2 linked regions of the Oryzias latipes genome follow. The protein of the gene in region 1 interacts with the protein of each later gene in a pairwise test. Links are inferred from orthologs where the notes say so. Each region holds a gene or a part of one and is shown in the gene's direction. Other genes may lie near its edges.

What was found. The genes of interacting proteins can lie anywhere in the genome.
Region 2: the proteins of rab3il1 (region 1) and rab11a interact in a two-hybrid assay, tested with the Homo sapiens proteins (2 studies listed by BioGRID and IntAct). The two-hybrid records come from large-scale screens. The link is inferred for Oryzias latipes from reciprocal best matches to the Homo sapiens genes RAB3IL1 and RAB11A.

Annotation. Positions count from the first base shown.
Region 1 is NC_019864.2:15,776,850-15,779,592, reverse strand, and holds the end of rab3il1 (guanine nucleotide exchange factor for Rab-3A), read left to right. Parts: intron 1-418; coding exon 419-547; intron 548-623; coding exon 624-736; intron 737-959; coding exon 960-974; intron 975-1,282; coding exon 1,283-1,382; intron 1,383-1,477; coding exon 1,478-1,544; intron 1,545-1,619; coding exon 1,620-1,705; 3' UTR 1,706-2,233; downstream 2,234-2,743. UniProt on the Homo sapiens protein: Guanine nucleotide exchange factor (GEF) which may activate RAB3A, a GTPase that regulates synaptic vesicle exocytosis. Promotes the exchange of GDP to GTP, converting inactive GDP-bound Rab proteins into their active GTP-bound form.
Region 2 is NC_019861.2:431,243-435,529, forward strand, and holds the start of rab11a (ras-related protein Rab-11A), read left to right. Parts: upstream 1-1,467; 5' UTR 1,468-1,629; coding exon 1,630-1,669; intron 1,670-4,211; coding exon 4,212-4,287. UniProt on the Homo sapiens protein: The small GTPases Rab are key regulators of intracellular membrane trafficking, from the formation of transport vesicles to their fusion with membranes.

The DNA of each region.
Region 1 (2,743 bases):
TTTATGTTCTAGTTCGTGCCTACTTCAACGCAGAATTATGACGTTTGTAGCGTATCAATGACGTACAAGTCGGATACATGTGTCCTGGCCGTTCAGACAGGGGTCGCATTTTAAAAGATCGGATACGTATCGGATTCAGGACCACATACCCAAGTAGCCTGGGTCACATTTGAAAAGATCGGATCTGTGTCGTGCAGACTGTCATGAAAAGATCAGATACAGGTCGCAAAGGGGCAAAAAAATCGGAACTGGGTTGTTTCAGCCTGCATTGTGAACGTAGCCATAGATTCTTTACATCATTCAACCTTGGTTTACAGATAATTGTAATTGTCTGTTTTCTATTTTTCCTGTTACTTTCACTCTTATGTTTTTGAAGTTAAAGGAGTTGTGCCACCGAGTTTCTATTTCCTGTTTGCAGATGGACTCAATTCTGTATACAGAGTTTTTGTTGTGGAGGGAATGTCCCAGTCTGGACCGATCCTCTGCCTTTTTGAGCCGCGTTTACAGAGAAGACATTGGACCTTGCCTATCCTTCACAAGATCAGAGGTCAGAATGCTTCTTTGCACAGTCTTAAATTGATGTGTGAAGTAGTACTGATACCCGTGCTGGTGTTTTCCTACAGCTGTCCCAGCTGGTTCAGGGTGCAGTGGAGAGCAATTCTCTTACCATTGAGCCTGTGGCCATACCAGCTCTGCCGATGATCAAAGCCTCTTTTATAGAGTGCGGAGGCCCAAGGTGAGTTACCCATACCTTTAATGACCCTTTTTTAGTCCCCCTATTCACTTCTAAATAGCCAAATCAACCTTGGGTGTTCACTCTTTTGGTGGCCTTTGCTCATCCACTGGTCATTTATCAGTGTGGTCCTTTCACTGTCACAATAGTAGTGTGTGAATCATTGGCCATACGCCTAATCTTCTTTTTGATCTAAAAAAACCCCTCTCTTTTTCTGTGGTTATAGGGCTGCAGTAGAAACGTAAGTCCAGTCAGGAATCTATCATTCGATCAAACTTTCACTAATCCACATGACTGTGATCTGAGCTGGATCCTACCGTACAGAATGTGTTTCAGACTTTAAAAGAATGCAAACTAATGATTTTATGCGTCTGCTTTTGCATTAACGTGCATATCTTTGGTCTTTTTGTGACTAACCTGGGTTTTGAACCTTTTTCTATTCTAGTTTCCTTAACTGCCAGTTTTCCAATAGTTTTATTACTAAACATCTAAAGAAAAAGTGCAAACTTGTTTGCACCTCCATTCTTGACTGTTGACCTCTGTTTATAGAAAATGTGCATTAAGTGGCCTGTCACGGGCCTGCCAACATCGCATCAAACTGGGTGACAAGGGCACGTACTATTACATCTCTCCGTCGAGCCGTGCGCGAGTGAGCATTAAGATTTCTCTGTGAATTTTATCCTAAAAGTGACTGGTGTTGTTGTGAAGTAAAACCAAATGCGAGTTCTGTTCACATTTTTACAGATCACAACTGTTTGCAACTTTTTTACCTATATCCGGTACATCCAGCAGGGCCTGGTAAGACATGATGGTAAGTTGGACTTACTGCTTTCCTAACTCTTTGTTTGATCGTCCAGCTGACAGCTTTGATTGCCTTTTTTTCCAGCGGAGCAAATGTTCTGGGAGGTGATGCGTCTTCGCAGAGAGATGGCTGTGGCCAAGCTAGGCTTCTACCTCACTGACCAGGGCTAGAGGTCCACCAAACACTCGGCAGATAGCAGTGTGATCACACGAGCCCCAATAAATCACTTATAATCAGGAAAAGTTGTGCCAACATGCAGATGTTTGATTAGCTTTTTGTAATATTTATGCTGAAGGAAAGGTCACCCAACAAGGGAAAAAGAATTTGTTAAATAAAAAAAAAGAAGCACAGGAAACTTAAGATTAAGGAAATTCTAGAACACTCACTGATTCTGAATAATGTGCTACTGTTGTTCTCCAGTGATTCACTTCTGTGGTGTTATAAAATATTCGAAACATTTCATTGTTAAGACTAAAGATGAACTATTTATCACACTTCAGGCTCTGAAAGACTATCCATATAGTTCTTCTGGGTTTTTCCTTGTTCAGCCACCTCAGGAAAACTTTTTCTTACTGAAATTATTCTGAATACAAAACATGGCCGCTAAGAGTTTCTTTCTCAGCATGGCCTTCACTGTGCCTTCTTATACAAAAACATAAAACAAAATACCTGTATTTTGCCTTTTTGCCAAAAAAAAAGTTTATCCCAAATAGATATCACCATGAAATCCCAATATCTCACAGATTGACATAGTAGAAAAACAAGCTTTTATAACATGTAGTGAACAGTACACCAAAAGCCATCAAGTAAATTGAACAAAAGGTAAACACAGCCATATGACACTATGAAAAGTAACCTGCTATACATTCGGCTTGGCTGGAAACATTTTTTAAAGTGTTTTGATGGTAAAAAATGAAAAAGTTTGTATTAGAGCAATAAAAATAACTTGTAAGGATATTAGTAACTGTGTTCCATTAAAAGCAAGGCATCAAAGCCTGACTGACTTATGTAGTTGGTGTTATTTTTAGATCACAATCGGAAGTGTTAGATTCCCTGACGTGGTATTAGAAAGGTCATTGCCTGGTTGCCCTGACTCACACACACACAGTTGCCCAACAGGTTTGTAAGCAGGTAGGAGGCTCATGAAACAACAAGGTAACACCAAAATCCCTCAGAGGAGATTTAAAGTCTCAAAATCTCTATTTTGA
Region 2 (4,287 bases), on another chromosome or scaffold:
GTGTGACATCATCCACAGAAAATGACATCATCCATAGAAAATGACATCATCCATGGAAAATGCCTGACTTCCAGCTCTGGCGAAATGAGGCAACACCCTTCTCAATTGCTTCCTAAAACGGGCAACGCCATGTTGAAACCAGTCGACAGTGATTGGTCCAAGTCGCTCTGAGTCATCGTATGTATGGCAACTCAACTCAACTCAACTCAACTCATCTTTATTTATATAGCACTTTCAGTCAACAGCCGCCGACACAAAGTGCTGAACACGAGAAAAAGAAGAAAACAAACACTAAAACATCTTAAAACACAAGATTAAAAATAGAGAGATAAAACAATAAAAACCAGTACAGCAACACAGCAATAACAGAAGTCTCATGTCATATTAAAAGCCAGAGCATAAAAATGGGTTTTCAGGCGTGTTTTAAAAATGGACAGTGATGGAGCTTCTCTTACTGACAGTGGCAGAGAGTTCCAAAGCTTTGGAGCAGCAACAGAAAAAGCTCTGTCCCCTCTGAGCTTCATCTGGACCTCGGTACCTCCAGAAGCAGCTGATCAGCTGATCGGAGGCACCAGGCCGGCGAATAGGGAGAGAGAAGTTCAGAGAGGTACAGCGGGGCAAGATCATGTAAAGATTTAAAAACAAATAAAAGAATCTTAAAGTGAACTCTAAAATTCACAGGATGCCAGTGGAGCGAAGCTAAAATTGGCGTGATGTGGTCTCTCTTACGTCCTCCAACCAGAAGACGGGCAGCTGCATTTTGAACACGTTGGAGACGTGAGAGAGACGACTGGCTGAGTCCAACATACAGAGAATTACAGTAATCCAGCCGGGACGTGATGAACGCCTGGATTACTGTTTCAAAATGTGCAGCTGTTAAAAAAGGTTTTACCTTGGCAAGTTGGCGAAGATGAAAGAAGCTTGACTTCACCAACAATAGTTGCCATTGGAGATACCAAGCCCTACAAGGACCAAAGAGCAGAGAGATGTTAGTTCAGTCACTTGTGTTTTTGCTGTTTTTCTTAAAAAGGATCAATCAACAATACCTTCAAAGTAAATCAATGCAATATGATTTATTACAACAGAAAAATCATTTACTTATTGTCTTTGGTTCTTTTGTGCTTCCTACATTTTGATTGTAAACAGTCAATTATATCTCTACTTTTGATGCTGTGAGATGGAATTATTGTCTGCATTTTTCCAATGGATTTCCCAAGTTATCCCTTGCGAGGAGATCCAGTACTAAAGGAAGCACTTCACCTCCTTGTCTTTTTATTTTGCAGAATTAAAAATATTTTTTTCCTTCTTAGACACAGTAATTTATCTCAGAAAGGATCCTTCCTTAAAAAACAACAACAAAAAAGATTTAAAAAACCCCAAACAAATTAAAACAAACAAACAAATGAACCAGACAAATAAACAAACAAACAGCAGTTCCCTGTACCGCCGCCAGGCGTCACCTTTCCCAGGAAGGGGGCGCTGCTTGAAGGAAGAAGAACTTGCGGAAGTTGATCTTCTCCTTCAGTTCCTGACGGAAAAGTAAAAAAGAAAACAAAAAATAACCCAAAAAGAAAGACAGAAACGCATTTAGTCTTTAAGATAACTGCAGTTCGGATTAACGCGAGGACGATGGGCACCAGGGATGACGAATACGACTATTTATTCAAAGGTGAGGTGCGTTTGTTTCGTTTAGCGGTCGGGCTAACGGCCCGGGGATCAGCTGACAGGCTAACGGAACCGAACTCATGCTTCGTGCCGCCACAGGCCCTTTCGGGCTTCCCGGGGGGGTTCGGCGCGCATGCCGCCTGTGATGCGGCCTCCACCCAGCGCCGGGGAGGCGGCTCTTTGTCTGCCGAGGAGTACTAGCTAAGGTTAGCCGGTGTTAGCCCCCGGTGCTAGCCCGCTGACCGGAGGCGCGCGGGACACACCTAACCGTTATCGCGTTTGATCCAAATGGGGCCGGTACCGAGTGTGTTAGTGTACTGACGGGTCCAGCTCGTCCGTCATTGAACTTGAATCAATCTGTCTGTCATTTATTCAGACAGTGTAAAACCAAAGTCAATAGTATATTTTTGAAGGCTACTATTATCTTTTGCTTTAGTTTTCCACAAAAATATAAAAGCAGTAAAGCGGCTGTTGTTGTTGTGATGCTGGTCGGCCGGTAGAATACATGAAGGTGGAAAGATGTTCGATTCCCTGTAATCTTCCATGGTTGGACACGGCATCCAGCTGTTTAAAGGAAATCCTTCAATCAAAAAGTAATTATTGTGTAACTTATTACTAGTAGAGCAAGGAATTATTAATTAATATTGTGACATTTTACCCATTAGTTATTGATTTACCACAGACTCTACCCAAAGGTAATGATGACAGCAGCACAAGGCAATTATAGATGAAAAATTCCACTTAAAACTTTGATTTTCATGTTTTTATGTGTAATATTTTAGTCGGACTTGTTTACTAAATTGAATTTCCTGTTGGGCTTCTTTTGGCACACATATGTGTGTGTGTGTGTAGTTTCTGTGTCCTGGTAAACGTCTGTCATTAGTGTTTTTGATTTTAGTCTTTCAAAAGCATATTGTTCTCCGGTTCTGCTTCTCTCAAACTAGATAAGCTACACTTTCATTTTTATCAAATGAAGTTCAAAAATCAACACTATTAAACCATCCAAGTGTGAAACAGGTTGTGGTCTGCAAGTCTTGCAAAGAAAGTGACATAAAAGTCAACAAAAGGCATTTTGAGGCTGTAGTATTGTCAGGAAACAGGTCATTCTTTTACAAAATAACTGGTAATCTGTGAAGGATTACAGTTTGGAGGTAACTTTCATAACACGGGTCCAGTCCATGACGACCTGCCAGATATTCTGTTCTACTCCAGCCTTTGACTTTGGAGCTTTTGGTAGATCCAGGGGCTTCAAAGCCGGCCTCTGATTGGGCGTTCCATAAAACGGATGTGCAGTATTTGGACTGAACAGAAATGTTATTGCTGACGAGACGACACTTCGCATCACAACATCCCAGATGTCAGCCATGTTTAGTTAAAGGAGATGAAGTTTGAACCATCAGCCTCCTTGGCTGCTAAATGAATAGAAAGTTTTCCATTTATTTACACTGGAAAATGAAAAACACCTTTCGGTATTCCTTGTATACGTGTTCTTTGGTTTTATTCAGTATTTTAATTTTTAAGATCATGTGTGGGGTTACTTGTTGGGCTTTTGGGGGAAAGAGGGTTGGAATTATTTTGACATGAATGTGCTTGTTTAATTCTTTGTCTTGGTGTCCAGCACTGTGAGCATGACGGCGCTACGAATGAAGCCTGACGGGCTGACGGGGCGATGGCGGCTCAACTGTCTGTTTCATTCCCGTCTGCTGACATCCTTCCAGGATGAAAATGGAAACGTCGTTTTGAATGAGGCAGCGAGTAAATGATTGTTGGAGGTCTTTACTGTAGTCGTAACGTAGCTCTGAAGCTCTGCTGACCGTAAATGTAAATGTAGCAGCAGAAGTGGGCAGATAGCTTCTGACCTCCCTGATGGTGTTTCTGGCTGAAAACAACCAAAACCCAGAGAATTCTGAACTGTTCTGCTGGAACAGAAACGGTCAGTAATTGTAACCTTAGCACCAGGGGAGTGACTGCAGCGTTAAAACTTCAGGAGAACCAGAGATATTGAAGAGACTGGATAATGAGGAGGTGTTAAGCTGACCTCTGCCCTGGCAGCAGGACCAGCTTCAGTTCACCTGCACGAACCTGCAGTTTGTGCAGAATTCTGGGCTTTATTGCAGTCAGTCAGGTTTGGCCCAGTCTTTAAAGTTGGGTTAGCCTGTTTGTTTTAAGAGCTGCTTATGAGGCCAGACGGGCGTTTCTTTGGTGATGTCAGAGAAGTGGACTGAATTTAAAGAGTAACTATCTAAAGTGACCAAAGGTCTATGGTTGAGGGCCTGCAGTGATACTGGAGCTGTCCACAAACTTGTCTGTTTGTAACTATAGAAAACCTTACAAAGAAAACTTAATAGCTGACTTAAACTCTGTAGATCCCATTGAAAGTGAAGAACAAAATGCTAAAAGTTACACCTGAGAAACGCTGTCATGCATCAGGACTCGTTTATTTCCATTTCATACTTTTGTTCCCTGTCAGCCTTTAGCCCGGGCTGAGGATGACCTTTAGAGGGAAAACGATGGCTTTTCTTACCTGCCTCCTCTTTGGTCCTCAGTGGTCCTGATTGGTGACTCCGGCGTAGGAAAGAGTAACCTGTTGTCCCGCTTTACCCGCAACGAGTTCAACTTGGA